Diceros bicornis minor: one gene and its partner. The protein of the gene in region 1 interacts with the protein of each later gene in a biochemical or structural test. Links are inferred from orthologs where the notes say so. Each region holds a gene or a part of one and is shown on either strand. Other genes may lie near its edges.

Region 1 (15,658 bases):
CCATGAAACGGAGCATGTTGCTCCAACCAACTCTCACTGGTCTCCAACTTTAGTCAGAGATGAACTGTTGTTGGGATAGGCCTGTTTATTATAGCAGCTTGTATTACTTACCCTGACTAATACACCTGCCAGAGTCCTTCTTAAAGGGACTATTGAACTCTCTCTTGACTATAGCCACAGGCAGCAAGTAGGTACTACCATTTAGGGTGTCTTAACAGTATAAAGTTAGTTCTAGACATCAAGTATCAGCAAGGTAACCAAACCACGCTTATATGTACAAATGATGGAGATATGTGTTTGCACTATAAAAACCTGAATGAATACTACCTTAATCCTAAACCAGGAAACAACACAAAGATAATTTTTAAATGAATATAGGAAAACTCATTTACTATTGCACTTACCTTCAAGGAAATTTACTTTGATTAATAACATATAGGCGGGCCGGCCCCGTGGCTTAGCGGTTAAGTGCGCGCGCTCCGCTGCTGGCGGCCCGGGTTCGGATCCCGGGCGCGCACCGAGGAACCGCTTCTCTGGCCATGCTGGGGCCGTGTCCCACATGCAGCAACTAGAAGGATGTGCAACCATGACATACAACTGTCTACTGGGGCTTTGGGGGGAAAATAAATATTTAAATAATTAAAAAAAAAAAATAACATATAGGCAACCTAGTCCAACATGGTTTATAGCAAAGTTCCCTTTTAACTTCCAGTACCAGGCACAGCCCCTGTCCCACAATAGACTGTCAATTAACATTTGTTGAGAAAATGACTGGTCTTCATTCCCTTATTGTTTTCTGCTCACTACAGAGTTGAGACACATATGGTCAGGAATGTCCCCAATCAGTTTTTGATCTGAGGTTTCCAAATGGCCTGCCTCTTCTGGGAAAGTCCAAAGCAGCCCTCTCCTCTAGGACAGTGTTATGGACTGAACTATGTCCCTCCAAAATTCATGTGTTGAAGCCCCAACACCGAAGACCTCAGATTGTGACTGAATTTGGAGATTGGGCCTTTAAAGAGGTGATTACATTAAATGAGGACTTTAGGGTGAGCCCCAATCCAATCTGACTGGTGTCCTTAAAAAAAAACAGGGTTAGGACACAAAAAGAGATACCAGGAATGTGTGTGCACAGAAAAAAAAGGATATTTGAGCCCATTTTTGAAGAATAGTTTTTGTGGAGTTGTTTTCAATTTATATTTTGTTTTTGTTTCATATAAGACCAGAACTTTTATTCCAACGTGATATTATGAAAATTTTCAAAGACAACAAAGCTGGAAGAATTTTACAGTGAATTTTATGATGGATACTGGTTCACCCACCACCCAGATTCTACCATCAACATTTTACTGCATTTGCGTTATTGCCCATCTGTCCATCTACGCATCCCTCACTTCCTCCATCCATCCATCCATCCTCTTAATGCATTTCAGAGTAAACTGCAGTAACTTCTCTTTCAGCATCCATATCATTAACCAGAATCCAATATTGCTTACAGTGGCTTCTGTTGATGTAAACTCTATCTGGAATGATGAAATGCACAAATCTGAAGTGTATTTTCCCTGAGTATTGACAAGCACATACACCCGTGTAACCCAAAACCCTATCAACATATAGACCATCATCATCACTCCAGAAAGTTCTCAAGTGCCTTCTCAGTCAATGTCCACCCTCACTGTCCCCAGAGGCAACCACTGTTATAATTTTTGTGCCACCATACAATAGTTTTGCTTGTCCTAGAACTTCATTTTAAAAAGAATCAGGGGCTGGCCTGGTGGCGTAGTGGCTAAGTTTGCACACTCTGCTTCGGCGACCCAGGGTTCGCAGGTTCAGATCCTGGGCGCGGACCTACACACCACTTATCAAGTCATGCTGTGGCGGCATCCCACGTATAAAGCAGAGTAAGATGGGTACAGATGTTAGCCCAGGGCCAATCTTCCTCAGCAAAAAGAGGAGGATTGGCAACGGATGTTAGCTCAGGGCTAATCTTCCTCACCAAAAAAAATAAAAATAAAAGAGGGCATATGGCATGCCCTCTTTTGCGTATGATTTCTTTCACTCAGCATAATGTTTTTGAGACTGATTCTGTAGTTGTGTGTAACAGCAATTTGATCCCTTTTTGTGTTTGGGAAGGATTATTGAATATACCGTGGCTTGTTGATCCATCCTCCTATGGATGTACACCTGGTCTGTTTCAGGTTTTGGCTATTATGAATAAAATTAATACAAAGATTCTTGTACAAGTCTTTTTGTGGCCAAATATTTTCTTTCTCTTGGGTAAATACGTAAAAATGGAATTGCTGGGTCATAGGGTAAGGGGTATATCTAGTTTAAAAAAAAAAAAAACAATTGCCAGAGTGTTTCTTAAAACAAAGTGGCTGTACCCTCTAATTCTCCTACCAACAATATACGAGAACCCCCATTGCTCCACATCCTTGCTAACATTTGGTGTTGTCAGTGTTTTTAATAAGACCAGAAATTTCTATATATCTGGCTCTAGGCATTAGAAAATGGGAAAAGCTTTGTTATCACTAAGCACATGTCTGTAGGGGCACTGTGGTTGGTGTATTAACAGAACCTAATTTAAATTTATTTCTCATAACAACCTGGTTAGAGGCTGGGAAAAGTGAAGTAACTGTGGAACTAGGATTCAAACCCAGGTTCTTCTGCTTCCTTTTTTTTTTTTTGGTACCCTGGCTAGGACTAGTGAAACAATAGGGTGTTAAGAAAGGAGATCCCCATGCAAAGCAGTGTTGTCAACTTTTTCCCATTGGTCAGAGCCCTCCAGGAAACTCAGAAGATTCTGGTTTATGGTAGCACAGTCTGGTGCTTCTGGCCCTGTAGGTTTGGATGAACTGGGACAGGGGATAAGGGGGGATGAAATCCTCCTCCAAACACTTGCTATCTTCCACCTGCTAGAGGCCTCAGGAGATCAAGCTCTTGGGCTCATAAAAGGCCTGAAGGAAGAATGAGCACAAAATACCTTGGCCAGAAGAAAGCCACTCTTTGTCCCTTCCTAAAATCGCACCACAGACTCTGGGGCCCAAAGGTGTGTGAGTTGCAGCCATTCCTATTGCCTGATGAAGCTGGAGAGAGGCTGGGGCTGGGGATTCACGGGATCCTGTTAAAAATGCTGCTCTGCCCCTAACAAACTGTGTTAACCTAGGATGTATTAGGACTTCTCTGAGTCCCTTTTTCTTCATCTGTAAAATGGGGGGAACTTTCCAACATCACAGGGTTGTTGAGAATATTTTTTAAAAGGTGTGTATTACATAATAGAGTATATTACATAATAGATGATCTATAATTATTCTTTTTCATTCTCCTTTTCTCCTGTTTGGTCAAATAGATTCTTAAAAAGAAAGTTAACTTGTTCTACCGTGTTAGATATTGTCATGTTCCTTTTGGGGATGGTGAAAACGGTTCCATGTTGTCACAGCTTTGCGTGGGGCCTGTGCCCTTCCTTTGTCCTGTTGCCCTTGTACACCAAGCTGGGTAGGAAGGTTGGTCTGCTCCTGCGATTCTAAGCCTGAAGGTAAACTTGAACTAATGGGTTTAAGCAGCAACAATAAAATAGAGGATCACTCTTATCAGCTGTCACTCTGTTGGGTCAACACCTGGGAGGAAGAACTGGCCAAAGCCAAAACCATTAGACTCCTCTGTCGACTACTAAAGAACCCACTGAAAGTCAACACACCATCAACTAAAAATCTCTCCACCAAAGACTCTAAGGCCCTGGGACTTAGAAGCTGGCAGAGAGAGGTCAGAGAAAAACAAACTTACAAGGGCTTACAAACAAGGGGGAAACAAGTTAGGCATTTCTTCAGAAAAGGGAGTTCTTTTTTTTTTTTTTCGTGAGGAAGACCAGCCCTGAGCTAACATCTGATGCCAATCCTCCTCTTTTTTTGCTGAGAAGACTGGCCCTGGGCTAACATTTGTGCCCACCTTCCTCTACTTTATATGGGACGCTGCCACAGCATGGCTTGACAAGGGGTGCGTCTGTGCACGCCCAGCATCGGGACCGGTGAACCCCGGGCCGCCGCAGCAGAGCGCACACACCTAACCCCTTGCGCCACCGGGCCGGCCCCAGAAAAGGGACTTTTAAAGGACTGCCAAAAAAAGAAAAATAAAAAAGGATCATTTCTACTTTAGCCTTTTCCAGTACTCCCCTAATCAACCCTCCTGTTTTTGGTAAAAGGTTTATTGTGACATGACTGACTTACCATAATATTCACCCATTTAAAGCATACAATTCAATGGTTTTTAGTATGTTCTCAGGATATATATACATATATATATATCATCACCACAATCAATTTTAGAACACTTTTATTATTCCTAAAAGAAATCCTGTATCTTTTAGCTATCGCCTCCCAAATCTCCAACCTCCCTCCCCCTCCAGCCCAAGGCAATCACTAATCTACTTTTTGTCTCTATAGATTTGCCTATTCTGGACATTCCATATAAATGCAATCATAGGGGCTAGTGGTTAAGTTTGCTGCACTCTGCTTTGGCAGCCCAGGTTCAGTTCCTGGGCTTGGACCTACACCACTCGTCGGTGGCCATGCTGTGGTGGTGACCCACATACAAAATAGAGGAAGATTGGCACAGATGTTAGCTCAGGGCAAATCTTTTTCAGCAAAAAAAAATAAAATAAAAAATAAAAATAAATAAATAAATGGAATCATATAACATGTGGCCTTTGTGACTGGCTTCTTTCATGTAGCATGAATGTTTTCAAGGTTTATCCATGTTGTAGCATGTGCCGGTATTTCATTCCTTTGTATGAATGAATAATATTCTATTACACAGGCATACGACATTTTGTTTATCCATTCATCAGCGGATGGACATTGGATTGTTCCGCCTTTTAGTTATTGTGAATGCTGCTGCAATGAACATTCAGGTACAAGTTTTTGTGAGGACATATGTTTTCATCTCTTTTGCTTATATACCTAGGCCTCCTTTCCAGAAGCTCAGCAGGCAAACAGCTTCTGCACATACAGGCCAAGGCTCTTCTGTAAATTCTGAGGGCTATTCCCTGACCCCCAAACCTGGGAGGTTAAGCCAAAACCCTACTCACCTTCAAGGCCCACCTCATTCATTTATGCATTCACTCAGTGAATATGTATTCATTCATAACATGAATATGTGCGAGGCACTCTGCTATGTGCTGGGGATGCACAGGGAATGACACAGGCAAAAATCCTTTTCCTCATAGAGCTTAAGATCCAGAGGAGGTGAGGAAAATAAGTAAAATTATGTGGCATGTTCCTTTCTCCATGGAGCATTCCTGGATGCCCCAGGAAGGGCTAATTCTACTCTAGTAGTACTTATTTTTCTCTTGTTTTATTTCAGAAATGATTTCTACCTTTATAATGGCACCAATCCAAAATTCCATAAAATTGGGATAATGTGTGTAAAGCACTCAGCACTCCTCCTGTCACGCTATAAAGATGAGAGAGAGAGGATGAGAGAGAAAAAGAGAGATTTATCATGGTTATGTGTTTCCTCTCCATTTGTGCCTTCTCTTATTAGCTCCATTATGGAATTCAAAAATGATTGACATTCATTCAGAAGGTGACATGTCAAAACATTGATTTGCAGTCTGTAGTCCAAGGCTGGAGTCTCTTCGTCCTTCCTGTTGTCCTAAGTTCCTTGGGAACGCCACTCAATTGGGGGTTTAGTAACCTTGTGCAGACTCTGAGACTTCTTTCTTTCTGTATTCTTTTTTTTTTTTTTATAATTTTATTTATTTATTTTTTTTCCCAAAGCCCCAGTAGATAGTTGTATGTCACAGCTGCACATCCTTCTAGTTGCTGTACGTGGGACACGGCCTCAGCATGGCCAGAGAAGCAGTGCCTCGTGCGCACCCGGGTGGAACGCAGGCCGCCAACAGCGGTGCGCGCGCACTTAACCTCTAAGCCACGGGCCGGCCCACCTTCCGTATTCTTAATTGGGACCAAACAGGTGCAATCACATGTCTCCAGAGAGCTCTCTGATGGGCCCTGGCAGGCACAAGGACTATGTGACAACTGATGGTCAGGCATCTGTACGACGCAGCAGATGCCTCTTGGATCTGTAGCCAGGGCCTCTTGGAGTTGCCCAGACTTATAGCTTTCTTATTACCAGTAGCACGGGCGTAAAATACCAGACCTTACCAGATAAAATGCCAGCCTCTTGAATAAAACAGGGATCATACCTACCTTGCAAGGTTGTCATAAGGATTACAAACATCTGGGTATTCTTGGAGGAGGGTAGGTCTTGAGTTACCCCACCATCTCCATCAGCCTCTCCAGTCACTCCGCCAAATGAACTCCAGGTGAAATAGCCTGCTGCTGTGCGTGCCCCTTCAGGACAGGCCTCCTGGCACCCTATTCCAAACAGATTTCCGCCCCTAAGTTCCTTCTCCTCAATAGAAATCCTGACGCAGCTCCTGAAATTAGTACTTAGCTATTATCACACAGCTGCAGTATCTTATAGGCACGTTCTCAGAATATTAAGGATAAAAGGGCCTTTTAAGGCTCTTCTGGGAGGCCTGCTGTCTTGATAATCCCGCCTCTGGCAGTGGTTTCTGAATGAATGAAAAGAGGGATAGTTATGCCCTCCCCCAAGGAGGGATCCAGCAGGCTCCGAATGCGTCGGGCAGCGGCGGGCCCTAGGGAATTTCTCCAGGCTGGGTGGACAGGGCCTCCTTCAGCTCCTTCCGCTCCCCACAGGCCCCGGTCCGCAGGGTTAGAGGCCGGCGGGGCTCAGAGCCCCTATTCCCGGGCCGGCGAGCCGGCGCCCAGCGGGATCTCCTGGAGCCGAGGCGGGAGCGGGGTCCACAGCGGGAGCTGGGGGTGGGGCTGGAGTGGGGGTGCAGGGTCCGCAGGGGCAGCGCGAGGAGCTGGGGGTGGGGTGCGGAGCCCGCAGGGGAGGCCGCGGCACGGTAGGGTGGGGGCGGGCGGCCGGCTCGGCGCGCTCACGTGACGAGTCAGCCGGGCGCGGGGCGGGGCCGGCGCGGTACATAGGCGCGGGGGCGCGCCGGGAAGCGACTGCGGCTGCTTGGGCACCAGCGCGGGCACCGGCTGGGGCGCACTCGCAGGCTGCAGGCCCAGGCTCTCGGCGGCGGGGCTCGGTGAGTGCGGGCGGGCCGGGGCGCGGGCGCAGCGCCAGCGCGGCGAAAGTCACCGTGGCCGGGGATGGGGAGACTGGGGCCCCTTGCGCCTTTCTCCGGGCCCAGGCGCGGTCCCGCGGCGTCCCCAGGCCTGGCGGGAAGGGGGGACCCTCGGGCTAGCACAGCTGGGCTGGCAGGGGTGGCAGCCCGCGCACTCCTAGAAGTCCCTGTGGTGAGAGACGCAGAAAACCACCCTCACGCAGCCAGCCGGGCACCCCCGCCCCCACTGCGGCCGGAAGGCTCGCCCCCGCTGGCCCCCACCCTAGGGCTTTGTTCGTGACCCGGCGCAGGGTCAGCGCGACCCCAGGCTGCGCCGGCCTCCAGGGCCGGGCGGGAGGCGGCCGGGGCGGAGCTGGGGAGTTTCCTGGGGAGATGGAGGGAGGAGCCTGCGAGGAAGAGCTTGGCCGGGATCCCGGTGACTGTCGGCTAGAATCTGGCTCCTCAGCCCCTGGTGAGCTTCCGGACCTCAGTTTCCTCAGCAAAATTGCTAAGATAATGGTATCTACCTGCATCTATTTTAGATGTTTTCTTATTGTAAAGGGTTTTCCTGGGCAACTTTCTGCACACAGCCACACCCAATTCCGGGTACCCCAGGAGACAGGAGCCTGGAACTGGGTGGAGTGGGGTGGAACCCACATGAAATCCACGGATGGGAGGAGAAATTAAGCAGAGGATAGGAGAATGTATAGGCATGGAGGCCTCAGCCCTCTTCCCCCTGGGGGTATGGGGGGGGGAGGAGGAGGATGCCACTCCCTACTCCTTGACTGCTATGGAAGGGAGACAGTGCCTCAGGCCCAGGGTGGTGTGGGAGAGAGGAAAACAGGGCAGAGTCCCTGGGGTATCACCTCTTCCCTCAGTTAATGACTCTGGGGGCCTGGGAGAGGGAGAAGTGTGGGGTGACTGAATTGGGGGGCTCAGCAGGCAGTCTAGATAGATGTGAATTGGGTTTGCCTTCTTAGTGGGCCTACATCAACCCCTTCCTCAGGCATTGAGGAAACCAACAGGCTGGCCCAGGGAGAAGGACAATAATCCAGGCTTCCCATGTTTCTACCTGACTCATAGAGACCCTCACACCAGGTGGGAGCGGAGGTGGTTGGGTTCAAAGGGAGACCTAGCACCTTTTGTTACCTTGGAAAAACTGGTCCTCAAGTGCTTTCAGGAGAGGCGAAGGCAGCTGAGATGCATTACAGATGCAGAACAATAAGGTGAAGAGGCTTAGAAGGGTGTCTAGTTTGGTAAAGGCTGCTTTCCTTTTCTTCCATAACATCTTTAATGGAGAATTGTTTCCTGTTGGCGCTGGTGATGGTCACCTAGAGCCTTTGAGCTTCGTAGAGAAGGGGGCTGGGCTGTCCCCACTGTGTGTGGCTTTCCCACACAGGGAGAGGGTTGAAGGTGCCCTGGAGAAAGGTTCTGCTCAAACCTTTTTGGGCATTTGTCCCAGAGCAGGGGTACTGCTGAATGGAAAAGTGCATATCCCTTCTCTGCGGGCTTCCCAGCCCCCAAGGGGAGGCAACACAGGCCAGACACAGCCCTGGCTCCAGTAACTGCCCTGATGTTGAGTCAGGACAGCCCTGTTTCTGGACTGGTCAGGGGGTGAGGCTGGAAGCCCTTTGGCTCCAGGATGAACCTGCTCATGTGCTGCTGATTCAGCAGCTTGAGCTGAGGCGCTTCTTGTAGACTGGGTCTGTCTCTGACTGCTGGACCTGGGGGTTGGAGTAGGAAGCTGCACACATTTTAGGGGTAAAAGAAATTTTGTGTTACTGTTGGCAGTTGAATTGAGAAGGGAAGGGAGAGCACTTCCAGGGGACACTTGAAATGTCTGGGTGATCTTCTTAAATGTTGTAATGAGCTGTGGTTGTGTAGAATGTCACTGTCCTCGGGAGAGAAGGACTGAAATATTTTGGAGTGAGGACTCACAACGTCTGCTGCCAATTTTAGATAGATTAGCCTAGGAAAGTATTAGCAATATGAGGTTGAACTATATGAAATGGGAATTTATGTGGGTCAAGAAGGATCGAAATCGGGGCAGTTTCATATGGTTCAGCCTCACGTGTAGAGAGAGGGTCGACAGTAAATTGATGAATTGAGTTGAGGCACATACAGGTGTGTATAGTACTCACTGGGTGTTGAGAAGCAGTCAGCAGTCTATACCTGGTCCCGTAGCATCATCTCTTTTGGTTTATTCTCTCAGCGCACACTCCAGGAGCCCCCTAAGAGAGGGAGCGTAGGAGAGAAATCCTGAGTCCTTCCATGATTGATACTGTTCGTATTCTACCCTAGTTTGGATAGGGAGGGGGATCAAGGGATCAAATGCCATTACATATCAACCAATTCTGTTTTTAACCTTAAACCTCATCCCCACCCCCTATCCACAGTTCCCGGGGCCTCCAAGTCTCAGGCTTCTGTGGGGTTCATAGGATGAGTGCGTTCCCTCTTGGTTACAGCTCCCCTTTGCAGGCTGTAGGTTTCAGCTTCTTTGCTCTGCAAGTCCTTTACCCTCCTGTGCCTGCTCCCAGTCTTCCTGAGGGACATTGTAGCTCTTATCTGCTGTCTCTTTATAATTCTCCTGCAGGTTTTTTGGTACTTCTAATACTTTGTATCACTCCAGGAACAATATTATTTAAATTGATGTAACTTAATTATACTGCATGTATCCTTTTCCTCTGGTGTTTATGAGAGTTATTTATATTGATACATACAGATCTAGTTCATTCATCTTAAAGGCACAGTGTATCTACTGAGGGAAAATTAGGTTGCTTTTGCTTTTTCCCTGTTGCTCACAGTGCTACAGTAAATATCCTGGTATCTCTCACTTGCAAGAGTTTCTCTAGGGCAAAAGCAGAAGTAAAGTGCTGGATGGTAGAGTGTATGCATCTTGCAATTTGCTAGATACTGGCAGTGCTGTCCAATGAGGTTTTACCAATGTATACTCCCGGCGGTGTTAAGGGTTCCTGTTCCTAATTTTTACCAACACTAGATATTACCAGACTTTAATTTTTGCCAATCTGATGGGCATGACGTGGTGTCCCTGTTTTAATTTTCGTGACTAGGAATTCAAATTTAATTTTTTGCCCTAGGAAATTGTTAATTAGTGAGCTTTTCTATTTTTGTTGTTGATGAGTGATAGTGTTTGTGGGTTTTAATGTGTTTATGAACAGTGAGAACTTACTAAGTTTTCTTTAGATCCTAACCTAGATATCTGGACCTCTGAAATTAAATAATGTTTTCTAATTTTTTAACTCTCAGAATGCATGTGAGTTTTGGGTCCTGGCAGTCTGACTCTCCCTCTTTACAGATGAAAAAGCTGAGGCACCTGCAAGTTTGTGACATGATGGGGGTCACTCAGATAATTGTGGTGGAATTTCTCCTAGAATTTGACCTCTTGACAGTTCTCCATCCCTGCTCAGGTAGACCATTCAGGGTTTGCTCTTGGTCTTTTCTCAATCACCCGATTCCTGCACCTGTAAAACAAAAGCCTTATACAAGACCAAAGGTCCTCTTCCAGCATTACTGTTCGATGAATGCTGGGTGCTGGGAAGGATGCATGCCTGCAGTGTTGACTGTGTTATCTGTCTCTACCAGGCCAGTAACTCATTTAGTCTGGTCATCAAGATAACCTAGAGTTGCCAGCAGGGATGGGGGAGGGGAAAGGGACAGATACCACCAAGATAGTAAACTGATTCAGTATAGAGCACTGTGAGAACATCTAGATATTCTGCCAAGAGACCCAGCAGGGGCTGGGCTTCTCCATGACCCTCTGACCTGGACTTGGGCAGGATGTGCGCGTGCACACACAAGTCATGTGGCCTTCAGGCTTGCGCAAGACCTGGGAAAGTGGTGCCAGCCCAAGGCTTCAGCCACTCCAGGATTGACGCATTGTCAGACATCAGCTGGGAGCCATCTGCTGCCTGTTCTCGATCCACTTAACCCTACAAGTGTTGGAGGGTGCTTTGTTCTGGTGGGCCAGATAGCAGAAAGCAGAATAAACCATCATTTGAGGGCTTATCGCAAAAAGCAGGGGGATCATGATTTTTTATCCACAATGGCATACTTTTGAGAATAAAAACAATTACTCCGGGACAGCAAGAGTTAACTGGTCTGCATAGGGCGGTGTATACTCACCACACTAGTGAGGGAGAGACTTCCTGGTGGCAGTTCAGCGTAAGGGCTGCCTGCTCTGAGCCAGGCTGCGTGGGAGGCACTTTCAAAAAAAACATCTCCTTCCATCTCCCAACAGCCTTGTGAGGTGAGTGTCTCTTCCCAGGGGCCCCAGGAGGGGAAACCGGGGCCAAGCCATAGAGGCGAGACCTTTCCATTACTTGCTTTTGTGGCTGCCAGTGTCTCAGCTGCCCCAGCTGGCCGGGAGATGTAATCTAGCCTGTGATCGAATTAGGGAGCCGCTGTGTTCCTGCGGGCTGGAGAGGCACAGAACACTAATCTCGTTGGAGTCTCTAAGGATTTCTAAAAGCTTTTATAAAGTCATCCCGGGGTCCTTCAGAATCCGGGCAGTGTGCCCATTTTAGAAACCGAGACATGGGGATGTAGTGCCCCCTTCAGCATCTCAGTAAGTCAGTTTCAGAGGCGATGAACAAAGCTGGTAAGCACAAGCTTCCAGAACTTTGCCCAGATTGTGTTGTTTCTCAACAATACAAAATATTTCGACTGCTGAGGGCCTTTCTGGGGTCCATTGTTTTAAGCCTAAGGTAGTAGTTTTCTTCTGTTTGCGGGATGTGGGCTGCTGTGGCTGATCTTAAGTAATGTTCCATTTGTGGGCACTGTAGCTACATGGTTTCCAGATACTGTGGGAGAGTAGCTTGAGTAGGCTGGCCTTGCTGAACCTGGGGGGAATTAGTCATTTATTTTGGACAGATGATTGGCAGGTGGGCAGCAGGGGAAGTACCTGTGAGTGGCCTAAAGGGTTTAGGTGGGTGAGGCAGGTGTGGGGCCTTCTCACTGTTTCTCCTGGTTCCCTTGGAGCCTGCTGGCAGCCAGCTACAATGGATGCCTTTTCTGGGTCATAACAGTTGCTTGGGGGCATTCAGCTGCAGGGAGCCCAGCTCTGGGGGATGGAGAGGCAGCTGGTGCCTGTTGATCCTCACAGCTTTCAGGAGACAAGTAATGACTAGGAGCCGTTTTTTCTTTTTTTAATTTAAAGATCATAAGCCAAGAACCAGTTAAACATGTTTCCGTTACAAGCAAAGACATAAAACACGAAAGACCACATCAAAGCTGTGATTCAGACTCAAAAAGGAGAGGTCTTGGGTCTCCTTCAGGTTGATCGCGGCACATCTGAGATCAGGGCACGTATGTCAGCCACCATAGTGCTGCCCCAGCCTTGGGGTGTAGCTGGGCAGACAGAAGTCGAGGGGAAGTGGAGACTGCCCAGCGTTGTTGTGTGGGTGCACTGAAATGGTCGGAACTTGAGGAACAACTGCTGTTAATGACAGCAAGAGACAAGTCTTTGTGGAAGAGAGAGACACTTATAAAGTTCTCTAGCAAGGTCCCACTGAGTCGTCACAACCCTCCTTTTCCACCTTTCCCCTTACCTAGAGCCCCTCTGCTGATATATGAGGCACAACCTTAATTTGTGGCAATTGACAAAATGTAGCCACTCAGTTTTTTGAGTCTTGAGAGCCAGCTGTGAGAGAGGTCAGCAGTATTGGACAGCAGCAGTGGGCAAGGAAGAGCAAGGTACTGGAGGAAGGGCTGTCGGCACACCTGCATTCATCTTTTTCTGTATTAGCCAGAAGATTGCAGCTGGGTTATTTGGAAATTTCACATATATATGTCTTGTCCCTTTAGATCCAATACAGATTTAGAATTCAGTCTACCTGAGGGCTGTATAAACTTGTAACAAAGCTTTTTTAAAAATCAGAGTTGGGGGGCCGGCCCGGTGGCGCAAGCGGTTCAGTGCATGCGCTCCGCCGCGGCAGCCCGGGGTTTGCCGGTTCGGATCCTGGGCGCACACTGACGCACCACTTGGCAAGTCATGCTGTGGCGGCGTCCCATATAAAGTGGAGGAATATGGGCACGGATGTTAGCCCAGGGCTAGTCTTCCTCAGCAAAAAAAAGAGGAGGATTGGCAGATGTTAGCACAGGGCTGATCTCACAAAAAAAAAAAAAAAGAGTTGCTGGGAGCCAAAACTGATTTCATGTCCTTAGGGATATCAGGACTTGAGGCCTCCTGCGAGTTGGCATCAGCTTCTCTCCTCTGTTCATTCCACCTCCTTCCAGAGTCCCAAGGTCCACATTAGTCCCAGGAACGGCTTCAAGGTAGTCGGGGGAATGGTTCTGCTGTGAGGGGAGGTTGAAGGATCACCTGGCCACAGGCCCTTTTTTGCACATGACAATATTCTACAGAACCTCGGTGGAATGTGTTTTCATATAAACCGTTAAGTGCTATAGGAGTTGGGAGAGGAAAGAAATGCGAGAGCCCATTTTTTTAGCCCGAGATTAGCTTGAAAAAGGGGCAGAGGGGTGTGGTGGAACCCCAGGTCTGCCCAGGAAGTCCAGCTGGCTGGGAACTAGGAGTCACATCTGCCCGCAGCTGTTTCCTCCCTCCACCGGCCCGCACCCGGAGAGGGAGGGAGTCTGTGATTTGTGAGTGTTCTTATCCTGTTTGGGCCCCTCTTCCCTCATCAAATAAGGACTTTCTGTTCATTCTGTCCTGCAGTTAAAGGGAAAAACCTCACACAGTTGAGAAATAAAAGGGAAGTGTATGCCCAACGATGGGAAGTGAAAGCTGGTTCTGTTTCGTGCTAAGGCCGCGGGCCCTGTGACCGGCTTGTTAACAACAGCACAGCTTGTTTTAACCACTTGTGTGTCGTTTGTCCAGTGTTCATGATTTGTGTGGATGTGGAGAGGAAGAAAGGTGGCTAGTGCTCACTAGAATGAAGTTGCCACGGCTCTTGGGGCATCTGTGTCTGTCCCTCTAGGAGGAGAAATTTGAGTTAATATTCTTTGGGCTCAGGACCCTCAAAATGAAGCCCATTTGGAGGCTAATTGAGGTTAAAACCTCAATTTTAATTCAGACTCTTCTTTGTGATGTGGAGGTGTTGTGGACAGGTTTGGCGTGAACTGACACAGGCTACAAGTGGGGGAAAGAAGAGAAGAGAGGGAAGGAAGGGAGGAGGGTGGAGAGTCGGAGCTGGAAGTCAAGGAGCCTTCATTGCCTTACTGTTTGGTAGGCACTGTGGCAGGGGCTTCTGCCCACCCTCGTTTCACTCTTGATTTCCACCTGGAGAAACTAATGGTTATTAGCTCCGTTTTACAAGTGGGGAGACTGAGGCTCAGTGAAGGCTGGGTGCTCAAGTAAGTGGAGGAGCTGAGATCTGAATCTAGGTCTCCTGACTCCAAGCCGAGTGCTCATCCTTACCGCCCGCTACAGCGGCTGTTGACCACTTAACCCCAACCCAGACGCTCTCCCATAATGCCACAACGCTGTGCCAGGGGTGCTGGGGCTGGAAGGAGGAGCTTACCAAGGCTCAGTCTGAGTGGGGTTGGGAGTCAGTTGTTTATGCTGAGCTCCAGGCTCACAGTCACGGGGACCCTGCCTCTCCACCGAGGCAGGTTATGAGGGAGAATAAAGTTGACAGGAAATATGGAGAAGGACCAGTGGAACCAAAGGAAAAGAAGGGTACATGCACGGAAGCCTCACGTCTGGTGAGGTAGCGTGGGAGGCCTGGCAGGCCACAGGACGCAGGCCCATGATGGCCATGGCAGTCATCCGTGCAGGAACTGAGAACCATCTGGGAGGTGGGTGGGCCCTGTGTTCTCTGCCACCACAGAAACCAGAGCAATCTCATTTAAAAATCTGAGTTGCCATGGAAGTGTTCCCATTCTCCACTTGCTTATGATTTAACATCTAAGCAAACAGACAGCTAAGACCCCAGGGGGGCACCTGGGGTCACTCCTGTTTGACATACGGGGAGCATTCTGCCAGGACTGCCTCAGATTTCCTGAGGACCCAGCCACGTCCCTGTCTCCCTGGAGAGGTCATGATGAGAGCCGAGGATGGCGACCCTTCTAGGTGGGATTCTAATGGGCTGTCAGCCAGGCCTCGACGTGCAGGGAGCGCATACTGCCAGTGTTTCCACGCTAGGTTCTCCTACCTCAGAAAAATGTTAAGATGCCGAGTGTAAGTCAGAAGGTGTGAACAGAAAGACAGGAACCCAACCGCTTTGCTTGTCTGTGCAGAAGACATTATAAAAGAGGCCTCAGAGAGCTCCCTCGCCCCTTCCACCATGAGGACACAATGAGGCATTTACCTCGAGTTTGGAGGCCATGTGGGCCTCTGATGTGTGGTTCTGTGAGCGGTAGCTTCCCCATGAGTCGCTGAAAATGGGAAGGCTAAGTGTTTTGAGCAGAAAGCCTCGCTGGTGAGTGGGGAGACGACTGGAGATGCATTTGGAGGCTCATGAGAACAAGTGTTCTTTTATCAGTTTGGTGGGTATGGATCTTGGGTAGCACTGGAGACTATTCTTCCTAAAAGAACAAAACTTC
Region 2 (15,991 bases), on another chromosome or scaffold:
TCAAAAAGACTAACTATATCAAGTGTTGACAAAGATGTAGAGAAACTGGAACTCTCGTACACTACTGGTAGGAAAGTTAAATCGTATAACCACTTTGAAAAACAGCTTGAAAATTTCTTAAAAAGGTAAACATACACCTACCACATGATCCAACCATTCCACTCTTGGGTATTCACCCAAGAGAAATAAAACCATACAGGCTTGTTCATCAATGTTTATAGCAGCTTTATTTTAATAGGCCAAAACTGGAAACAACCCAAATGTTCATCAACTGGTGAAAAGATAAACTGTGGTATATCCATTCAATAAAATACTACTCAACAATTTAAAGGAATGATCCATCGATACACGCAACAACATGAATGAATCTCAAAATAACTATGTCAAGTAAAAGAAATCATTCTAGAGTTATGTAATATTCTAGTAAATGCAAACTAACTATAGTGACAGACAGTAGATTAGTGGTGGCTTGGGGATGGGCAATGTGGGGAGGCATGAGGGAGGGTTACAAAGGGGTACAAGGAAACTATCAGTAATGATTGTGGTATATATGTGTGTATGTACATATATATGTCAGAAGTTATCAAATTGAGGGGCCAGCCTGGTGGCATAGCAGTTAAGTTTGCACATTCTGCTTCAGCAGCCTGTGGTTTGCTGGTTTGGATCCTGGGCGCAGACCTACTCACCCCTCATCAAGCCACGCTGAGGTGGCGTCCCACATAGAAGAACTAGAAGGACCTACAACTAGGATGTACAACTATGTGCTGGGGCTTTGGGGAGAAAAAAGAAGAGGAAGATTGGCAATACATGTTAGCTCAGGGCCAATATTCCTCAAAAACTATATATGTATACACATGTATATTCTTTGTCTTCACCTGTGGAGTCTATAGAGACAGGAATCTGATGGTTGTGTGTATTTCTAAAAAAAAAAAAAGTTATCTAACTGAACATTTTAAATATACAGAAGTGATTGTAAGTCAATTGTACCTCAGTAAAGCTGTTAATGAAAAAAAATCTTTTTTTAAATAACACTTAGAGAAACTCAGAACAGCTGGAAGCCAGCTCCAGTCATCCTCCAAGGTCCTGCTCAAGCATCTCGTCTCAAGTACCTTCCCCAGCTCTCCAGGGGGGGTTAGTCCCAGTTAAGGCATTTCTGCACTATAATTATAGGAACTTTTCACTTCTTCATCTTCCTCTCTGAACTATGAGATCCATCTGGAACATAGTGGGGACAACAATCAATAACAATGTATTTACTCAATGATGAAATTTCTCTGCACAAGGCAGACTCATTGTAGGTTAAATGGGTTTGACTAGCCAGCCTAGAGGTCACCATGCAGATGGCATTTCTGAGGAAAATGCCAAATTCCACACAACTGACTTATAAGCAAACTTTGTCACCAGTTGAGGACAACCTGTTTTGAACATATGCATCCGTTCCATGAGTAAGCTAGAACAAACAGAGCTGATGGTCATCCTCTTATCTTGCAATTCACAAGCAGGAACCTATCTATGGAGCTATAATCACCACACTAACTGATCTGTTACAACCCGGATGTACTCACCTTGGCTCATGTGTGTACCTTGGAGCTTCCCACTGAGCTCCTGCGAATCAGCTGGGGCAGCAGTAGCTCAGAGATCTGTCTCAGGAGGTGGCCAACCTCTAGTGCTGGTTGACTGACAAAGAGGTGGTTTGAGTCCGATGGGATCTATCTATGCCCAACAATCACTCCAGGAGGATAACTGCCCTTCTACCTTCACAGAGCACACACAAAACCAAGACCTTTTTCTCAGCCCTCATCCCAAGGTTACAGGTCTTTGCCAATCACCCTCAGGACAGGACAGAGAGTACCATAGGAGATGAGGAGATCCAGTCGAGAGAGCACTGCAGGAGTCAGTTGACCTGAACTCCAGCCCAGCTCTGTCACTCACTGGTGTGTGACCTTGAGCAAAACACTTTGTCTCTCTTGGCCTCAGTATCCTCGTGTATAAAAGGAAGGGCTTAGTTTGACTCAGTGGTTATATAAAAACAAAAAAAACGGAAGGGCTACAGACCTCCTAACTAATTTTTGTATAGAACCATAGTTTATAAGACAAACAAGAGTTGCTCCAATAGAAAAAGGGATGGAGTAACACAGCCCAGTTTCTCTGCTTCTTTGCTCTATTGCCGTCCTCTCCCAGGGGGACCCTGAGACATCTGCCATTTATATTAGATAAAGGTCTGTTGGATAGACCCATAATCCAATCCAGATAGAGAGCTTGAATGCATGCATTTATTCAACAAATTTATATTGAGCATTTACTGTGTACGGGGCCTTCTGCTAGCAACCAGGATATCAACAAGGAAAAAGACAGCCAGGGCTCCTGCCCCCACACAGACTTACACTCTAATGGTGGAGAAAGACAAGTAAAAAGGCAATTATTTATTCGTTCAATAGACATTTATTGAATGCCTACTATCTGCCACGCACTGTTCTAGGCTCTGGGATCTGGGAATATAGCAGTTATTCCAGGCAACAGAGAATACAAAAATAATCAAAACATGCACAGACTGTGAATAGTGCTATTAACAAAGAAGATGACATAAGAAGGACTAGTGGGAGGTGGGAGAAGGCCTCTGTTAGAACATGATGTTTCCGCTGGGATGTGATAGAGAAAACTTTCTGAAGAACCTGAGAGAGAGCATTCCTAGCTGGCAAAACGTCAAGTGTCCAGAGGTTGAGGTGAAGAAAAGCCTCGCGTGCTCTGGGAACCGAATGAGGCTAGTGCATCTGGAGAGCATGAAGGGGGAAAAGTGTCATGAGATGAGGTTGGACAGTTAGGCAAAGATGGAATTATGCAAGGCCTCAGAGTCCATAGTAAGGGGTTTGGATTACTTTTTCTTTAATTTAGTGGGAAGATATTAAAGGAATTGATCCAGAGGAGTAACATCATCTAATTTGTGTTTACAAAAGATCACTCTGATTATTGTATGGAGAACAAACAGCACATAGTATTTTTTGTGCAGAAATTTTTTGGGCAGAATCTTCTGATGGCTTGGATTTGGAGATAAGGAAATAAAACGTGACTTCATGGCTTCTGGACTGAGCAGCTGGGTGGTGGCAGTGCCCTTTATTGGAAGGCAGGAGGCTCAGGGAGGAGGCCACAATTACAATGCAGGGTGATGCCTACACTACAGTTATGACCAAACACAGAAAATGATTCATAGCCAAAGCCACTGCTTCTGACCCAAATCTCAATGACCTCAGACCTAATTCATTCCAGCAGCTTCCTGAATACAAAGCTTCCTATCCTAACCTCCTGCCTCTCCCCATTGTGGTCCTCCATGATTTTTATTTTTATTTTTTTATTGTGATAAAACATACATAACATAAAATGTATCATTTTAGGGGCCGGCCCCGTGGCTTAGCGGTTAAGTGCGCGCACTCCGCTCCTGGCAGCCCGGGTTAGGATCCCAGGCGCGCACTGACGCACCGCTTCTCCGGTCATGCTGAGGCCACGTCCCACATACAGCAACTAGAAGGATGCGCAGCTATGACATACAACTGTCTACTGGGGCTTTGGGGAAAAAAAGGAGGAGGATTGGCCATGGATGTTAGCTCAGAGCCGGTCTTCCTCAGCAAAAAGAGGAGGATTAGCACGGATGTTAGCTCAGGGCTGATCTCCCTCACAAAAAAAAATAAAATAAAAATAAAAATTATTAAAAAAAAAAGTATCATTTTAACCATTTACAAGTGTGTAGTTCAGTGGTATTAAGTACATCCCATTGTTGTGCAACCGATTTTTATTTTTAATATTTCATATTCTCTTCCCCCTCTCCTTCCCCTGCCAATCTCAGGAAAAACTGTGCCTTTGATCTTACTCTACTTTATTGATTCTCTTCCTTGTATGACAAACTACAGAGAAACAAAAGCTGATATTGAAAGTTTGTTGAAGAGTTATTGTAAAGGAGATAACTAAATTCTTAGGATTTGTAGCAAAAAACTTTACAGAACAAACCATTTTATGATAGCAGTTATTATATTTCCATTTAGTTGAACATATAATTTTTCATTTTTATAATTCTAAACATTTTATTGGAACAGTAATAATTTACTGCATCCATAGCCTGTGAGGAAATTTAAGAAGTTCAAGTTAATCAAGCTTATTATAAGAAAGTAGGTTCCCAGAACAAGTCTTAATCGTATTAAAATTTGTCAGAAATTGCTTAAGTATTTTATCAACAAAGCTAATTTCTTCTCAGAAAGAGATAGAGAATTGTGTCATACAAAAAGATTCTGCCCTCAACCACATTTTTAAAAAATTGTATTTTATAGTAGCTAACACTTGAGTATCACGGGAGAGATTCTTGTGCTTCTTAGTAAAGCAACAAGACAGAAATTTAAATTATTAATGACATACTAAGATGGAATAGATTAAAATTAAGCAAGACCTTCATCTACCCAGCATTGCTTTATATTGTGTGCCTCAACAATCATTGGTTTGTTAATGTTCTCCAGCCTTCTCATCTTCCTCATCTGAAATGGTAATGACCAGTCTAGCATTTATTTCATAAGACTTTTTATGAAATATGATTAAAATTAAACTTCTATAACTAAGCCCACTGAAACATCAAGGCCCATTATTTCTGATTTCCACATTACCTTAGTAAGGCCTTGATTAAACTCTCTTGCTAAAGTCTTCATTCTCCCCACTATTTGCCAGGAAAAGGGAGAGAAATGGATTTCTTTACCCAGTTATATCTTTATATTTTCAATATGGGCCAACTTGTTTAACATGCTCTTCCTCCTGTATTCCCAAATTCTATTAATAGTACAATTATCTTTCTGGTCATCCAAACAAAACACCTCCATCAGCCACCTGACTCCCTTTTCTGTGTCCTCTCTCCCGCCTAATATTACTTTTATAAATTGTCGTATGGTCCCATTTCTCTCCAGTCCATTTCCCACATTGGATCAGAATTAACTTTTCGTTGTTCCATTGTGATAACTTCCTAATCAATCTTTCTGTCTCCAGGATCCTTTCATCCAATCCACCCTACACATTGCTTCCAGTTTTATCTTCCTAAAGTACAAATGGTTTCTGTACAGCTCAAAATTTTTAGTGGCCTCTATTACCTAACAACTAAAGTTTACAATCTTTCACCTGCTTTTCATGGTTTGTCCTCAACCAACCTTACCTCCTACTTTCCCCTCACCATGAGGACAGCCGGGAGGAGTAACTTTGCCATCCCTTTGAACACACACTTCAGATGGGACATTTACAACTGTTTTTTTTTTTAAAGATTTTATTTATTTTTGTTTTTCCCCCCCAAAGCCCCAGTAGATAGTTGTATGTCATAGCTGCACACCCTTCTAGTTGCTGTATGTGGGACTCGGCCTCAGGATGGATGGAGAAGTGGTGCCTCAATGCGCACCCGGGATCCGAACCGGGCCGCCAGCATCGCAGCGCGCGCACTTAACCACCAAGCCACAGGGCCGGCCCAACAACTGTTTTTAAGACAATATGTTGATGCAGTGGTAGTTAAAAAACGCTAATGAAAAACGGTACAGGAAGCAGTATAAAAGCAAGACCAAGAGACACATAAAGGTGTTTAACAGGTATTCCTTTTTTCCCAGATTTTTTGGGGGTAAGTTACATGCAATAAACTCCACCCATTTTAAGTGTACAGTTTGATGAATTTTGGTAATTGTATACCATTAGTAACCACTACCACAATCCAGATGTAGAACAGTTCCATCACTGTAAAACGGTTCCTCATGCCCCTTTGCAGTCGATCCTTTCTCCCACTCCCAACCCCAGGCAACCTCTGGTCTGCTTTTCATCACTCTGATTTTGCCTCTACTAGGGTTTCCTGTAAGTGGAATAATTTAATACATAGTCTTTTGTGTTTGACTTCTCTTAGTTGCCTTCTTTTTCACTTTGACTTGTTTTTGAGTTTTACCTATGTTATTGTATGTATTGTTATTTTGTTCTTTTTTATTGTTGAGTAGTACTCTATAATACAGATATACAATTTTTTTAATCTATTCACCAGTTGACGTTTGGGTCATTTCAGTTTGGGGCTAACATGAATAATGCACCTATGAACATTTGTACACAAGTCCTTGTGTGGACAGATGTTTTCACTTCTCTTGGGTAAATACTTAGGAATGGCAATGATGGGATATATAGTAAATGAGCATATCATACATTTACCCCAGCCATGGGTGGGAGCACAGTTAGCTGGAGATGTCCAGAGCCCCAGGCGTACCAAAAGCTGAATATAAACCCAAATTCTGAGTATCTTCATGATTCAAGAGCCCTAAGCCAACAGTAAAACAAGACCTAGTTTGGGGCCTGTGCACCCTGTAGTGTCCAGTTGAGGCAAACCCCCCCATAGGGAAGCCCATAACCCAGCCCCCACAGAGGAAATCTTCCATAAAAGATATTTCCCTTTGGAAGATGAGCTCACAGACAAGATATATAAAACATATGAGAATGTCCAGTTCCATAAAAATAGCCTGAATAATTAAAACCAAAAAAACCCTCCACAACATCCAGTACAGCAATCTTAAAGTTATTTAAAAATAATTATGCATTTAATTGTGTGTTTAAGTAATTAACATAGAGATATTAATTGTTGTGCTTTTCTTTTCTGTACTTACTTGTACAAGACTCCTCCTCTGTCAGTCAGAGGCCTCCATACTACCCTGAGAAGAACTAGGATATGATAGTAGAAATGCAAAGACAGAAGCAATATTTGCTTTTGGGCAGTTTTTTCTTCTAAAAGAAATTATTGAGAATCAAGAAGGAATACCTGAGAGTAACATGGTATATAGGCTCTAGAAAGAGAATGGAAGATATGCTGCTCACCGTATGCCTGACCTCAGGGAGATTACACAAGGATCACCTGGAATATTTGGTGAACAGAGAGGTAGAAATGGACTGCAGCCCTGAAAAAAAGCTGGAGGCTTGGATATGAGAGGACCTGACTTGGGAATGTTACAGGAAGATGTCAAGGGTTATCTGTGGCCAGAGCTGAGCCAAAGTCTTAAGATGACTTGTGACCTCTTGAGTGAGCACCATGTCATGCACATTTGCTATTCTTCTCAATACATGAGTGAAGCCATTCCACGGAGAGCTATCTGCAAAGCACCCCTTAGATTATCCAGTAAGATATCTGCCTATCTCCAAGAATTTGTCAAGTACCTGCCAAACATTATAAAGGATGAAACACCTCTCTATGTAATAAAATAGAATAATCTCCAAAATATATTGTTAGGGGTAAAGCAAAGTGTCTAAAAGTTTATGTTGTAGGCTACCATTTGCACCATTTATAAGAGAAAAGTGTGTGTACATGTATATGTATGTATGTGTGTAGTTAATTATCTATTTGTATGTGTAAAGACTATCTCTGAAGGGTACAAGAAGCTGGGGATAGTAGCTGCCTCTGGAGAGTAGAAGGGTGGCTGAGGAATAGAGTGAGCGAAGAATTACTTCTATTGTAAACTCTTTTGTTCCTTTTGAACATTTTTATCATGTGTATGTGTTACATATTCCAAAAATTGAATAAAATAATACAAATAAATATTCACACAAAACAGCAATTTTCCTCTAGATAATTTGCCTGTAGAAGCCCTCACACATGTACAAAAGGAAAGAAATGCAATATTGTTTATAAGGGTGAAAAACTAGAAACAACAAAATCTTCATCACTAGCGGAATAAGTATGTAAAATATGGAATCGCATATAGCAGTGAGATAGAATAGATAGATGATAGATAGATAGATGGATAGATAGACAGACAGACAGACAGACAGACAGATCTATCAAAGAATAGCAGTTAAAGGACATGAACTAAACTGATCTGTGTACCAACATGGAATGACTCAAAAACATGTTGAGTAGAAAAAAATCCTAATATAGAATATGTGTTTAACGTACAATTTAAGTAGATTTTTAGAAACACACTAAGTAAGAGTATAAAAATGGACTAGAAGGATACCAAACTCTCAACGTAGTTTATCTCTGTGGAGGGCAAGGTTGGGGGTGGGGGGCTGTAATATTTTATTTCTTAAAAACAACTACAAAAAAAAAGATAGGAAACAAATATGACAAAATGCTAAAAATTTTGATTCTGGGTGATAGGAACACGTATAGGCATTTGTTGTTTTATTCTTTGTTTTTTTCTGTATTTTAAACAGTTCTAGAAGTATAAATAAAAGTAAAATACAAATTTCCAGCCAAAGTTCTCCAGATAGATCCTTTTACTTTCTTTATAAAGCCAAGTAAATTCTAAAAAATCAGCCTTGACATTATTAATAAATATCCTTTAAAAAAATAAAGTTTTGTGTTAGAGGTTTTACAACATTGGGAAACTCTGGGTGTGGCTTCAGATTTCATACTTCAGACGCAACAGGGTAGAACCATTGTCAAAGAGAATGCAGGAAAGTTTGACTCCTGTTACAGCATGACTCCTTGTGTACCCCCATTTATTCATCCCAAGCTCCTCATTCTTCCAAAGCCCTATTAGCACATTCTGTTGAGGAAGCAAGAAAACTTGCCTCAAGTCATATTCATTTTCCTTGTGCCTTTTTTGCTTTTTGTGGAAAATAAAACATTCTGTAGGCGGAGCTTATGAGCAACACCCTCTTTAAAAACCGGAGTCTCAACTCTTGCCTGACCATTTCTGTTCCAGCATCCTGCCCAGCAAAGAAGCAATTAGGCAAAATGATGCCTGGAGGCTTAACTGAAGCCAGACCTGCCACTCCACATATCCAGGAGATTGCTAATGAGGTGAGTTGATTTATCTCATGAAAAAGTTTAATTCAAAATCTTGGTTCCTAGGTTGGCCCCATGTTAGGTGTGGTGGGTGAACATGAAAACCAGAACATTGGGAAATGTGTGGTTTTGCTTAGACTTCCTTACAACTAAAACTTTTTTCAGAGGAAACTTCTAATAATCCCAACTGTGAGAGTGATCTTGAGCAAGTCACATCCCTTCTCTGAGCCTCAGTTTCCCGACTTGTAAAAGAAGATTTTGTATTGGATCATCTCTAAAGCTCTTACAATGTATGATTCTAGGATTACTAATTCAGTTTCTGATGAAACTTTTCTAATCTCACCAAGTAGAGCCAACATATAATTAAAGTCTGAGGTTGTTAAAGATTTGAGGAACTAGACTTCAAAGGCACTGCAGGGAAATTTTTTTTAATGGGTTGAATGAAGAACAATATCATAAAGGCAATCCATTTACAAACTTCCTACAAATTTGACTAAATAAACAATGTTTTCATCTTTTAATAGTTAGAAGATGATTTAACCAGTAGAGAAGTGGCATAGTCTACGGTGATTCCAAAATTGATTATGGTGAAAATAGAACTCTTAATGTTTTTAGCAAGTTGATACATTTTTCTACGTGTTGTTTGATTAGCTATAACTTATATAATAAAAATTTATTGTATTGCATATTTTATGAAAAGAAAACATATATAAATTACCTTTTTAGGTTTGTAAATTGCCCTATTTTCTTGTATGATTCCTTCTTGTTTTTTCTCTTTGAAACTTCATTATATAACACTATTTTGCAAACAGGGTCAGCTTCTTGTGGAAGTGGAGAGATGGGATCCTCTATGTCAGGGCACTTGTAAGCTCTCTAAGAGCTCAGATGCCTAGAATTCTACCACTCATTCTTTGGGCCTAAATATTTCTCTTTCAAGAGTTCTTTTAAAAAATAAATACCTTGGAGGCTTTTTTTTCTTGGAGAAGATCAGCTTTCCCCATCCTCATCAGGAAGCTTCTTAGTGGAATGCCAACTGAAGGGATAAGCCGATTAGAGAGGGAGGGACAGGAGGGGGATGTTCGGCACCTGGAGAGGGAAAGTATCAAGCAAAATGAAAACTACAGGCTCAAAGAATTTGACATCAAAATGAAAGAGGGATGTTGGATGAGAGGAGAAAGAGAGGAAAATGTTGATTGTGTACACAGTACTTTGTGAATTGCTATAGGGAGAGAAGGGACAAAAAGGTGGTCCCTGCCCTCAGGGAAATTTACAAAACAGATTGGAAATAAGAGATACACACAAGGAAATAAAGAGCCACACATGGCCCTATCCATGAGAAGCCATGATACGTATAATCAAGGACCAAATGAATGGCCCTACCAGCAAAAGCCTCTGGATCATTATTGCTGATCCACTATCTTATATCATATGTAAAAAACCATTGGATGAGAATTCTGAGTATGTTTATGTGTAGGAAAAAAATGTTATTTCAATAGTTATTTTTGGAAATAAGGGCTATTATTATACATGCGTAGATGCATACACACAAAACACACACACACACACACACACACACACACACACTCCTCTAAGTCAAACCTGATTGCTGAGTACTGTTCCTGGCATACACACAGATCATGACTTTTGTCTGCCAGGATATCATGCAAACACCTCATCTACATACCATCAGGGACACACCCTGGGGCTTAGCGTGTCACGGCTCTCACTCACCCACAAATTTGTGTTCTCTCTGACCACAGCCTCCTCATCAGTCACCTCTTCCACTGCCACACACCCAAAGAACCTGACCTTCAGCCACACCAGAATCCTTCAGGCACTCACCCTCCCATCATCATCAGAACATGCGTAGGCCCACTCGTTCACTCATCCAGCCCGGACCCCATGATGGGTGGTTTCATACACTCCTCCGACACTGATTTCCATGATCCTGTGAGGTTCTGGCATTCTGATCCTCAACTAGAGATCACTCCCACTGCCACCACATCCTCCTCAGCTTCTGCTCCAGGTTCAGAGCACTTTGCTCAAGGAAGATGCAGAACCCTAGAAAACTCACCCATTACAAATCTGTGAATTCATGCCAGAGAGCAACCTCAACAGGAACACCCAACAAGGCTGCCAGAACATCCTTTCAGTCATGTCCTGTTGGTCCTTTTCTAGAAACCTCACAGAGGTGGATCTGGACCTTCTCTCTCCTTAGTTTCTCAATCCCTCCCATCCACAAGGCCCCTCCGGCCAGTGTCTCAGTTCCTTCTCTTAGAAAATCACAGTCATCTGGTGCGAGAACACCCCGATTTACTTATCCTCTGCGAATCTCATTCCTCCCTCCCTCTAATCTAAGACTCTCTCTTCCTTTCTTAAACCAGCCCTTCCTCTCTTATGCCAGGTGCCATCATTTCTTGCATACTGGGTGTCTTGCCCCATACTTCCCCCTTTCCTCAAAACATACTCAGACAACAAATGTCCACAAGTCACCTCTCACCAGCCCCACTATACTTTCATGTACTACCCAAACTCTCCTTCCTCACTCTGTAAAACTTCCCAAAATATGGCCTATTCATGATAACACCATTATCTTTCTGTCCATTCTTTCCTAAATTATGCATAGTCCAAATGTTTCTGCGGAATGATTGGCTACAGCGTGGCTCAAATCCTCAGATCCCAGAGAACTAACATCTCACCAAGATTCATGCTCTGCAGCAATAAGAAATGCTTGAACAGCTCTGGAGTGAATGTACTTTACCAGTTGCTCCTCCCTTGTAGCATCCTTCCCCTGGCGGGGCCCAACTGACAAGCCCACATTGTTCTCTCCAGCACCTCAGCCACCACCACGCATGGCAGGTGCGGAAGGTGAAGGCCAACTGTGTTCAGCTCAAGGTCTGTCTCTTTACCACCAGGCTCCAGACCACCACTCCCACTGGCCTGCACCCTCCTACCGCCCATTCTGGGGGGTCTTTCAGCACCAAGCTGCCTTCTGAAACTTAAGGTTTCACTAACCCACTCCTTTCTACTCTGCCCCTTTTCCAGCTCTTCAGCTTAAGTCTCATCACCCCAGGTTCATAGCACCCAACATTCGAACAATACAAATCTGCTTTACTGGGAAGGGGGAGCAAAGCTACAGGTTGAGTACAGTGAACCCGAAATCAGGGTGCACAGTCTGACAGGTGCCAGTGCACTTACAGAAACAAACCAGGACCTTTGAAATCAACTCTCTCATGAAAATTCTGGACTTGTGAATTGCATACATACAATGGAAAGGTTACAGATTTGGATTAATTTGTAGGACAGATAGAAATAAAAACTTTGATACATGGTAGAAACATGACCAAAAGATGGAAACCAGAAGAAATACAGATAATTGCAACAGATAAATCAGATACTTAAGTTATCAGGCAAGGGATTTTAAGCTTTAAATAACTATATTTAATAATTTTTCAGCATTATGTAGTCATGTTCTCCTCACAGCCTCAGGTTCCTCATTTGTAAAATGAGGTTTAATTAGAGGATTTTGGGTTTAGTGTAGAGAGTAATCCTTTCCAACTCAGGTCCTAACTCGACTGGTACCCAGTGTTCGCTCAAAAGGCTTAGGACAGGGGAGCAATAAGTCAGTAACTCCTTTTCTTACTCAACTTCTCTCTGCACCTTTGTCCAGTTTTCTCCTCTCTCTCCTGCACCCTATCTCTTCCCATTTCTGGTTTTTTTCTCACTATTTATCTCCTTCCTTTCTCCAACTTCGAGCTTCATTTTCCATCTCAAGAGAGCAATCACATTCTTTCCATCTATTCTGAAGGTTACAGGAGAAATAGGTGGTGGTCCATGAAGTATTTGGTCCTCGAAAGTGGTCTGAGAACTCAAAGAGTTTGCAAATGTCTACGTCTTTGAAAACAGTTCTGGTACCCAAACCGAGGTCCCAATAGAAAAGGATTCAAAATGTCTGTCCACAGATGGGAAGGACTGGGTGGCCTCGGGACAACCCTAGATGCACTGGAGGCCTGACTGAAGCTGTATAGGCACATAAAATGCTTCAGCGAAGGGCAGGGAAGCAACTTCCCAATAAAAAAGGTATATCAAATACACAAATGTAATTCCCTTTCCCTCTAAATGATAGGAAAGGATTGGGAGGGAAAGGGCACAAACCCACAAATATAAAGACAACAAGATATAGGCAAACACCACTTTGACAAAGAGATAGCGACAAAACTTTGGAAGATGGAAAACAGAAAAACAATGGAATATAACTGAGCCATCTAGACAGAGCCTAAGCTACAGAACAGAATGTCTGAGCCAGAAGCAAGCAGATTCATGCTGCGGAACTCCAAAATGGCACAGGCACTAGCAACACCAGAAACTTATGTAGACGGGAGTGAGGCATGGGGCCTCCAATGTCCTTCATTCCTGCCTTCAGGAATTATGTCCTCTCTGACTCAATTTCTCCTAAGAGTAAAGCTCCAGCCTTCTGCCAGGGTGGAGGACAGGTAATAACTTGTCTTCCAAGGGAGAGGCTAGTGAGAGGGAAGGATCTGGGGGCAGTCTTGCTTCTCCTCATACAGATCTTGCATCAATCCTCCCAGTTTTTAGCCCTTGCCCATGTAATCTTATTAAAGATACGTGTCTTTCTATAAATATTGAAAATAGGTCATAGATCTCATTATCATCTTTGAGGACTTTTAGGAACATGAGGTTCCCATATTTGTAATCACATAGATGGAGTCCAATATAGCTTTGATAATTTGTTTCCTCTTTTCTCTTAAGGTTAAATCACAGCTTGAAGCAAAAACAAATCGGACTTATGAAGAATTTAAAGCCGTGGAGTATAAAACTCAAGTGGTTGCTGGAACAAATTACTACATTAAGGTTAGTATTCAACATCCACTTTGGCAATAAAGATACTGTATTTATCACTTTATGTGATGCTCCCTGTCACTCCTACCACATAATTTGTTCCTTCTCCTTGTGCTAAACCAAGATGCCTACCTAGCATGATACTTCCCAAATGGTAGACTCTCAAATTTGGCAGATGCTGGTATATTTGTATTGTCTTTTTCTTGTGAATTTAGAAAGCTTTCTTATATTGATTCTTAACTTAATTTCCAGAAATTGTATAGAAAAAGATTTCACAACAGTTCAGAGTATGTTTAGCTCGTGGCCATGGCTGCTTCACCTGTGAAGTCGGAGCCTGAAGGCGTGGGGCTGGACCAGATGTTATCATGAAGCCTTTTTCCACCTCAAAATTTTGCGATTCTATGTATCTAAATTAAATGGATGTAAGGAATGACTTGAATCATTAGCTGGGAGAATAATATAAGCCACTTTTGCCCATTAGATAACCATTTTGATTAATATAATTTACATAATAATTTTTGCATCTCAAATAGGTAGAGTCAACTTGTGCCCCTGTGGGTATTGTCTAAAGAAGTGAAGCATTTAAAATATTTTTTAAATTAATTTTATAACTATATTAAAAAAATTAAATGATGCACTGATCCAGTTCTAATTGAAGAAAATACTTGTGAAGTTATTGAGAGGGAACCAATTCAACAAGTCAATCGTGGATATTTGGGAGCCATTTTCATTATTTTGTATTGAGAAGATGATAATTCTAATTTAATAAATAAACAACAGATATTCAAATGTATTTACTTAATCTTTACTAAACCATTTGACCAGGGCACAGTCTGCCTTATTTCTCCTTAACAAACAATTAACTACTTAAGATATAAAAAATTTTTTAAAAGTTTGCAGCAAAAAATAAGTGGTGTTAACCAGCTCAGCATGAGAAAATTACAATACTGGGTTATGTAAATTGATCAGCCCAGTCCTACCAAATTTGAGCTCCTAGTACATACCAGGCCCTGGAAGGCCCACATGTATCTGCTTTCTTTACAGCTGGAAAAGAATGTTTTCCAGTTAAAAATGATTTTGTTCAATTTTATTTTATTTATTTTATTTATTTATTTATTTATTTTTATTACTATTTTTTTGTGTGTGTGTGTGAGGAAGAGCAGCCCTGAGCTAACATCTGCCAGTCCCCCTCTTTTTGCTGAGGAAGACTGGCCCTGGGCTAACATCCGTGCCCATCTTCCTCCACTTTATATGGGACGCCACCATAGCATGTCTCGTCAAGCGGTGCGTCCGTGCGAGCCCAGGATCCGAACCGGCGAACCCCAGGCGGCCGCAGCGGAGCGCGCGCACCCAACCGCTTGTGCCACCGGGTCAGCCCCTGATTTTGTTCAAAGATAAGAAACTTCCACCAAAATTGGAATTATTAATGTAATGACTTATGATTAATCCAAGATTAATAGATTTCACATATTAATCAGTTCATGTATTTCTTAAAAAGCTCACAGAAAACTATCTTGAAAATTTCTTCCCTTAGGACCACCCGTTCAGTCTTAAATACAGTCTCTTCTCCCCTCTCTCCTCTGTCTCTGTCTCTGTCTCTGTCTCTGTCTCTGTCTCTCTCTCTCCCCTTCCTTCTGCTATCAGATTTCCCCTACTAGATTACAGCTACTGACCCCGGTTCTCAATACTTTTTGGCAATCTAGCTGTTGATCTCTTTGCTCTGAGCCACTCTCTAGATTTAAGGTCTTGCTGGTGATGTGACTTTCTGTTTTTTCTCAAATATCTATCAAAAGGCAGGTGGTAGAATGGAAGGATTGCAGAATTTGATGTCAGACAGTCCTGGGTTTGAACCCTTGTTCGACTTGTTCTACTAGTCAAAACCTCTGTGATCGAAGCTCCTCATCTTCTCTGAGCCTTAATTCCCGTGTCTACACAAGGTGGAGAATAATAACCTACTTAGCAGGGTGTTGTGTGGAATAAACGAACTAGAAATTTACTGAGCACTTCCAATGTGCCAGGCACTGTTCTAAGAGCTGGGCCTGTATTATCTCATTTAATTCTCCCAATAAATCTATGAGATAAGTATGATCATTTCCCTGTGTTACTGATGAGAAAATTGAGCCCCGGGGAGGTGAGGTAACTAAGTTTACACAGCTATAAGAGCAGAGCCAGGATTTGAACCCAGGTAGTCTGATGCTTAACTATTGGCTGTGCTGTCTCTTAAAATGTATGCAAAGGCTGATACTCTATTCCAGGCACAGAATAAATGCTTTTAAAATGTTACATCATAGAGTGAAAAGAACATAGATGTTGGAGTCTGGATTTGAATCTTGGCTGTCGCTTGTCAGCTGAGAGATTTATGAAAAA

What was found.
Region 2: the proteins of CTSB (region 1) and CSTA form a complex in vitro, tested with the Homo sapiens proteins (3 studies listed by BioGRID and IntAct, with this or other methods). The link is inferred for Diceros bicornis minor from reciprocal best matches to the Homo sapiens genes CTSB and CSTA.

What each region holds. Positions count from the first base shown.
Region 1 is NC_080750.1:62,364,475-62,380,132, forward strand, and holds the start of CTSB (cathepsin B), read left to right. Parts: upstream 1-7,047; 5' UTR 7,048-7,117; intron 7,118-11,383; exon of another isoform or gene 11,384-11,402; intron 11,403-15,658. UniProt on the Homo sapiens protein: Thiol protease which is believed to participate in intracellular degradation and turnover of proteins. Cleaves matrix extracellular phosphoglycoprotein MEPE. Involved in the solubilization of cross-linked TG/thyroglobulin in the thyroid follicle lumen.
Region 2 is NC_080754.1:23,184,372-23,200,362, forward strand, and holds the start of CSTA (cystatin-A), read left to right. Parts: upstream 1-8,649; 5' UTR 8,650-8,713; coding exon 8,714-8,779; intron 8,780-13,534; coding exon 13,535-13,636; intron 13,637-15,991. UniProt on the Homo sapiens protein: This is an intracellular thiol proteinase inhibitor. Has an important role in desmosome-mediated cell-cell adhesion in the lower levels of the epidermis.